Linked DNA regions of Coturnix japonica. The protein of the gene in region 2 purifies or fractionates together with the protein of the main gene of each other region. This does not show direct contact. Links are inferred from orthologs where the notes say so. Each region holds a gene or a part of one and is shown on either strand. Other genes may lie near its edges.

Region 1 (3,864 bases), on a different chromosome or scaffold from region 2:
CCACTGTTCTCTCGTGGGGGAGAATGAAAGCAAAAGGCCTCTACAAAGCAGGATTGTTGGGTGAAATTCTCCGGGTGTAGCTCTGCAGCAGCAGCACATTCCTGATCACAGGCAATGTCTTTCTGGGCTGCTGGAGCTCATTGCAAGCAAATGGCTCCAGGCTGTTGTTTTTGCTTTCACAGCCGTGACAGAGGAAGAGCTGTCCCAGGCCCTGGTTGATGGGGAGGAAATCACGGCCCCACCAGCCAGGAGGAGTATGGAGAATGGCTGCTCTGCATCCACAGAGTCCAGTGCTGCCGAATCCACAGTGGAGACTGAGAGCGAGATGCTGAGCTTCGGTTTGGAGGAGACCAAGTGAGATATTAGGGCTCTTGGGCTGGACCTGTGGGTAACATAATAGGACCCTGCCAGCCAAGCCCCCCATCTTCTATGGGCAAGCCCTGCAGTGGGTGCAGATTCCTGTTGTTCCAGTTAGTGTGATGGAGCAGTGCTGGGTCAACAGTACTCACGGGTCTGGTTCTCTATCTGCCAAACAGGCCCTTCCACGGAGGGGTGCTTGCTATCAGCTGCATGTGCAGACAGAGGTGGGTGAGCTCACCTCCTTAGCTCCCCTGCAGCATGCTTTGGTGCTCATCAGCACCGTGCACATGCTGGAGTGTGGTGTGATGCAGTTGGTTCCCAGTCCCATGGCTGAGAGCAGCCTCCTCTTATTGCCTTGCCTGATTACATCCTGTAGCTGTGAGGCTCTTACTATGGTTTTGCTCAGGCTGCTGTGTTCTGTAGGCAGCCGAGGTGTGTGAGATGTGCTTTGAATCCCTTGGCTAGAGACTTGTTGGGTGACTGCCAGTGACTGCAGAAGTTTGGCCTGGCCGAGTAAGGTTTTGCCTTCTGCTTATTGTAACATTTGCTCTTCTTCCCTTTCTTCAGCAAAATCCGAGAGCAGCTTGGTATGAAGCCTGTTCCTAGGGATAAATTTTCCTCCTTCTCATCTCAAGAGGTGGACTGTAGCCAAAAGACAAGAGTGAGTATCTTTCAAGTCCAAATTGCTTTTCATCTTTGCAATGCCGTGCTGTGTCTTTATTTTCCTCCGCACGCAAAGAAAGCCTGATGAGGTTTGTGCTCTCCATCTGTCTGCCCACGGGCACGTGTGTCCCTGCACTAAGGCAGTGCTAGGAGGTGGGCAGCAGCTGAAATGCAGCTGGTGAGCGGGAGGATGCTGAATCGAGTGCATAGGTGCATCTTCAGCCCCCTCGGTGGTGTAACCCCAGATGAACCTCATGGATCTTGGCTGTGCAGCTGGGAGCTGCTGTATTCTGGGCTCGGTGCCATCGCTGCAATTGGCATAGGGAGGCCATAGTGAGGATCTAGACCGTGTTCTGCCTCATTCTGATGCTTGTTGCCTTCATGTCCACGTTCATTCCATGTATTGTAGGCTTCCTTTATAGCTCCAAGAGTACTACTGCAGGTCCTGCCTTTTTTCCCTGTTTTTCTTTCTTCTTTCTGCCAAATGAAAATGAAGGGGATGTGGGCACAGACTGCAGCTGTGGAGCTTTAAGTTGGACATTAGGAAGAAAGATTTCCCCTACAAGGTGCCTGGAGAGGTTGTGGAATCTCCCTCTGGAGTTTTTCACGACAGGGTTTGACAGAGCCGAGTTCTGGTGTTGGCAGCAGTCCTGCTTTGCTGGAAGGCTGGCCTGGGGACTTCCAAAGGTTCTATCCAGCTCCTGTTTTTGCTATTGTCTTACCATTGCTCAGATCAGAGTGGGGGCAGGTCCTTTCTCACCCTTCATGTGGTCACACTGGAGAAAGGACAGCTGTTCAGTTGAGCGCCCTTTTCCCTACAGGAGCCAGAGGTGTGCGGGCAGTCTATGCAGGACTGGGTGGACGAGTTTGTCCTGCATTCCAGTGAGTCTCCTCCAAGGCAGCCTCTGCCCCTCAGGGCCTCAGGGGGGTCGGTTTGTCCTTGTAGGTGCAGGTGATGAAGTCCCTAGAAGGAGCAGCAACTCGAAAACCGAGTGCCCCCCTTCTCTGGGCTGATGTTAACGTGTTTGTTTAAAGCAGTGTCTGTCTCATCCTGGCAGAACAATGTGCTGAACGCCATCCTGCTTCTCACGAAGGAGCTGGACGCGGAAGGTCTGGAGATTGTCCAGCAGACAGTGGGGAGGAGGCTGCAGGCCTTTCGGAAGAGAGAGCTGCAAGAGGAGTGAGGGTGCGTGCTGTATCCTGGAGCACTCCGTGAGCCAGGGAGCTTGCCCCAGCCCAGCAGCACCACTCTGCCCATACATGCCTGGCTCAGCACGTCCCGCTGCACTTCCCCTGTGGATGAGGTGATGCTGGCTGAGAGCAACTGCCCCTTTACCTCTCCTGACATTGCCCCTGGCTGTGTGCATCACGCTGGCAGGATCTGCCTCTCAGGAGCTTTCCTGCTGGCCTGGCAGGCTCTGTTAATGTGTGCATGTTGCATCACTGGGGTCATTCGATGGGAGCCATGGCATGATCAACAAGAAAAAGCTAATAGGGCTGTGGGCAGAGGTGCTGCTGTGCTGTACAAATGAAGGGGCTGGAAAGCCTGACAGCAGCCAGAAGTACCACTGCTCCCTGTTGGCCGAGCACTTGGCCAGTTGTCATAGAACAGGCTCTGAAGGCAGCTTCTCCCACAAAGGTTTGTTTGAATCTTGGGAAGACGCTGCCTGAAGGGTTTTCAACAACTCTCTGGTGCAGATGGTGAAGGTCAATGTCAAATTCTTTCTTTATCTTAAAACTCTTGATTTCTTTCGGCCTTGTTAGTACAAGCAGCATCTGATTCCATGGTCAGGTGGCCCATGGAAGACCTTGGTGCAGCCTGGGTGAAGCAGCACATCCTGAATGCTCTGCTGTAGTTTCGCCCCTGCTTGCCCTCGCAGGCATTTGAGCAGCCCAAGGGAAAATGAACCTTAGAGCAAAATGCTCCTGTGTGTTTTGGGAGAAAACGAGCCAAGCATTGCTGTCGGAATGCACAGGTATCAAGGGTGGTGCTTAAGTGAAGAAGCTGCGTTCAGAAGGGTTTTACAAAGCTGTTAAATACCACTTGAAACATTGTGACATAGCAAATAAAAGCCGTTTTCCCTCTAGGACCTGCGAGTTGTGCCTGGGGCTCGGCAACCATGGTGAGAACAACTGACTCTGGGCATTGCTGTGTTACATCTGGGTCACGGCTCCCATTGTGAGCCCTCTGAAGCCGCAGGGCAGCTGTTGGCCCCTGCTCCATCCCGCTTCACTGACCGTGAAATGCTTCATCTGACTGCAGTGCTGCTCATAACCACAACTGCTGCACCTCCCTGCTTTCCAAAGGCACTTTGCTGCTGGGGCAGCTCTGCAGCAGGGAGCAAAGGGACTGTGAGCAAGGCTTGGTGCAGAGATGCAAAGCCTGCAGGATGGGGGACGTGGCCTTTGGTGCGGTTCTTTGCAGGGCCTGGGGTGGTTGTGGCTCTGCTCCCTGTGTCTGCACAGGCACCCAGGCCCCTGCACTGGGTTGTGCTGATAGGATGCTCCTTGGGGATGTTAGCCCCGTGCACACAAGCACATCTATGTGGCTTTGGGATGAGGGGACACAGCGTGTCCCTCTGGTGAGGATTGCTGATGCCTTTAACTCTTCAGATGACCTAGTTCTTGCCTGCTGTGTTAAGCCCAGCTGCACTGAACTGGTCAGTGTGATTTATTATATACTAGTCTTGCCCTGACAGCCAAAGCCCCAGAGACTTACCCGGCATCTTGTTTGCATCCTGCCCTTGCACAGAGGTTAAGTCTTCTCCCAGGCTGCCTCGACAGCTGTTTGGTGGCAGAATTTGCACCTTTTTGCACCGAGGATCGTGGGAGCAGCCACTG
Region 2 (3,815 bases):
AAGAACTCATTTTCAGCAAAGTCTGTATACCTCTTTCAGTTAAATTTCTAACTAGTAATATTTACTAAAACCCTAAGTGAACACTAAGTTCAACACTAAAGCACGTATTCAGTGTTGCACCACTAGCATTGGAATGAAGCTGGATTCATTGCTTTCAAACACTTCTGACAGTTTAATTGAATCATTTGAGATGGAAGAGACCCTTAAACACCACCTGGTCCAATCCTCCCTGCAATAAACAGGGATACCTACAGCTACATCAGGTGCTCAGAATCTGCTCCAGCCTGACCTTGAAGGTCTCCAGGGATGGGGCTTCTACCACCGCTCTGGGCAACCTGTGCCAGTGCCTCACCACTTGTGTTGTAAAAAAATCTCTTCCTTGTATCCAGTCTAAATCTCCCCTCTTTTAGTTTAACAACGTTTACCCTTGATTTATCCCAACATATCCCGATAAAGAGTCTGTCCTCTTCCTTCTTATAGTGTCCTCTTAAATATCAAAAGGCTGCTATCAGGTCTCTCCAGAGCCTACTCTTCTCCAAGCAAAATGAATCATTAATTCAAAATAAAAACATTAATAAAATTATTTTAATTAACTACTTAGTCTGGTTTTCAGGTTGCACGTTACCTGAACTATGACTTAACTAAGAAACTAGAATAAAGTTTAAGTGTTCTTCACCATGTGTTTTATGAACAGTCTGCTCTAAACTACTGTATAGTTCTCACATCTCATTTCAGTCTCTCAGATAGACTGTGTCAAAGCACAGTCCTTTAGAGATTTCTTCATATTTTAGCTTTTCTGTGCTTTCTGAGATGGGAAGATTATATGAGATACACATATACATAGGCTATCTAGGAATAACATACATGGGGTTTAGTCACACACATCAAGTTAGCAGAAGATAATAAACATTAATATATTATCCTCACACCTCATCTTGAACACTTGTAGTTCCAAATCCCTGAACCAAAAATAATGTAGAGATGGAAAAGTTTCTAAGAAGAGCAGTAAGAATTAACAGCATACAAAATCTTCAGTACAAAGAATAAGTAAGTTAGTTCTTCAGCCTGTAAAAAGATGTCATGCAGCGTAACAGATGTCTAGAACTCTACATGGGATTTTGCAAAGAAATACAAAAGGGCAGAAATGATAATCCCAATATAAAAAGCATAGAATACAACCAAGGTCAAGGAGGAAGGTTTAGAATAAACAATACCAAAAGCTGTCTATGATGGTGTACCTGTTCTGTCACACATAGCAGACTTGTGACCGTGAAAATTTATTAAGAATTTATATAAACATGGGAGACTGATTTTCAAGCAGTTAAGAGCAGCATTTCAGCAACAGCTGTCATGTTTTGCAGATGACAGAACCAATGAGGATCTCTTTAGCTCAGACCAGGGATAGCAGAAGACAACAGTACACGTATGCACCAGTTACCAACACATTCAATAAGAGATGTTTCCTGGTCATTTCCTTCTCTGTCTTTTAAGATTTTTAATTTGAATATGTCAGTGAATCAGTTTACAGAATTGTGTGCAAATATTTGTACTTAGTCCAAGAAAATACTGACATCAGGTAGCAGTCTATTACCAGCTATACCATGTCTGAATCATCACAAACAGAAGTTTCATTCTAGCTGCTAGACGTAAAATCTGATCAAGCCTTCAGTTTTTTAAAAGACAGATTTTCTACTATTTTTACAAGTCTGCTATGAAGATTTCTGAATCTGGTCTTTTGCTGGAACTTTAGTGTTAAATACCATTAGTTGAAAGCCTATTTTCCATACGAAAGAAATTCCAATTATATATGGCCTTCCCCCAAAATTTCTTTATGTTAGAATTTGAGTCCATCAGAATTCTTTATATTTAATGAGGTCTTCTTTTGCATTAATTCTCTCCATGTCCTTTCTCATCCTGTATTTACTTACCTCATACATCAGTGCTCATTATTCTTGATCTCTTTTGATTAAATTTACATTAAAATAGGTTGAATAGTTGTCAAATTATATCAATAGATCCTAAACAGAATATTGAATAATTTCTTCAATGTTATGTATGCAAGAAATTCAAACATCACATTTACTTAGCAATATTTCACAAAACAAGCTTGCAGGCAATTCCAAATTGCATCAACAAATGGATTGAAGCAATCACAATAAAGATTTGATGCTGAAGACAACACCACTTCATGAAAGAACTATATATGTAAGCAAATGAACATCTGACTCAAAATTCCTCCCTGTATACAAAGACATACAAAATAATACTCTTTAAGATAAGGTCAATTTAAATTTGTTTGTGAAACTACCAAATACTTCAGTAAGTTGAGATTGTATTTGTTTTTATTTTTTGTAGTTTATAGTAACAACTCTCTTCTCTCAAACGAAAAGGTTTGCACAAAAGCTTTAGGAAATACCATTAGTCCACTTTCTCATACTGTATATTGACACTGGAATAAAAAACAGTCCTAAGACCTTTTAACCAAATGAAATTAAAACCAGCCCCATACCTGTGGCGTGAGAAATTTTTCAACCCGTTTGGCTATGAAGTTTTTCTCCAATATGGAGTTTACTGATGGTCTATCCCTAGGATTCCTTTTAAATAACTGTAACAGCAGATTACGTAGGTCACAGGAATAATGCATAGAAATAGGAGGAAAGGATCCAGAGATAATCTTCAGTACCAAGTTCTTCATGTTACCAGCTTCAAACTGTATCATGTAAGAAAACCAGACAGTTACTACACATTACTGCTTGCCTACACGTAAAGCTGAATAAAAGGTGAGGGGAAATAAAAGAGAACATGGTCAAACACAAAAAAAGCTCACACTTTCTTGTGCCTGGGCATAACAAAATCAATTTCCAAGGTCATCAGCAGTTTTCATCAATAGTTTATAAACATACTACACTACAGTTACTTCATACCATATTTATATATATTTTGCAAGCAAATATTTATTTCCCTCAGATCTAGATGAATAGTGATATGCAGTTAATTATAATTATATAACAATATCTGCTTGATCTTATCTGATCTCCTGAATACTTTCCACTTTCTGCTCTTTTCAGAGCAGCACATTTCAAATGAAAGAATGTAAAGCATTCACAGTCACTCAGTGTGAAATCCAAAGGAATGTTTAGACTAGCTTGAGCTCAGGAGGCAGAAGACACCACTTCAATTCCTTTGAGCAGTTAAAAGAAAACAGCATGTATCACACAGCTTACAGAAAACAAATTGCTATCAACCCTCAGAGAACCAACTTTGTTAACACTGTTCTCTCTGAAAGGACTATGTAATAAGAAATTGCGATAGCTTTCATCTTTATGCCCTAAGCTTTTTTTCCCCCCTCAAATTGATATGTTATAATCTTATTTATTTTAGAAAAAATAGTTATTTCTTAAATAAAGCAAATTGACAAAAATGTTTTTATTCTTCCTGTCCCAACTGAAAAGTGATAAAGAATCATATTAAAAAACAAAACACAACTCCATCACGCCAGTTTTTTTTCCTAAAAACTAAGAGTGTTCCAAACAGAAACGTACAAATCCACCTACACAAAAGCTGGCAGCCTAAATTTAGGCCTTCTCAGTTACAATGAAAACGTCAAGCCTTCAGAAAGAAAAGCACAGTTTGTTAACACACCCAGCAACTTTTCAGCTAACTCAACCTCACTGAAAGCAAAAAAACCAAACCAATAAAGATTGGCATGAATCAAAACATAGTAAATGTTTGTCAGTATTGGAAAAGAAAATTAAAATGCTGAAGGTAATTTTAAATAGTCACTATGAAAGCCCTGAATCAACAGAAATACATCT

What was found.
Region 1: the proteins of NEK1 (region 2) and CFAP410 purify together in Homo sapiens (affinity purification with mass spectrometry; 3 studies listed by BioGRID and IntAct, with this or other methods). This does not show direct contact. The link is inferred for Coturnix japonica from reciprocal best matches to the Homo sapiens genes NEK1 and CFAP410.

Annotation. Positions count from the first base shown.
Region 1 is NC_029524.1:3,309,328-3,313,191, reverse strand, and holds the end of CFAP410 (cilia- and flagella-associated protein 410), read left to right. Parts: intron 1-182; coding exon 183-354; intron 355-927; coding exon 928-1,021; intron 1,022-1,844; coding exon 1,845-1,905; intron 1,906-2,081; coding exon 2,082-2,239; 3' UTR 2,240-3,111; downstream 3,112-3,864. UniProt on the Homo sapiens protein: Plays a role in cilia formation and/or maintenance. Plays a role in the regulation of cell morphology and cytoskeletal organization. Involved in DNA damage repair.
Region 2 is NC_029519.1:22,224,014-22,227,828, reverse strand, and holds part of NEK1 (serine/threonine-protein kinase Nek1), read right to left. Parts: intron 2,711-3,815; coding exon 2,510-2,710; intron 1-2,509. UniProt on the Homo sapiens protein: Phosphorylates serines and threonines, but also appears to possess tyrosine kinase activity. Involved in DNA damage checkpoint control and for proper DNA damage repair.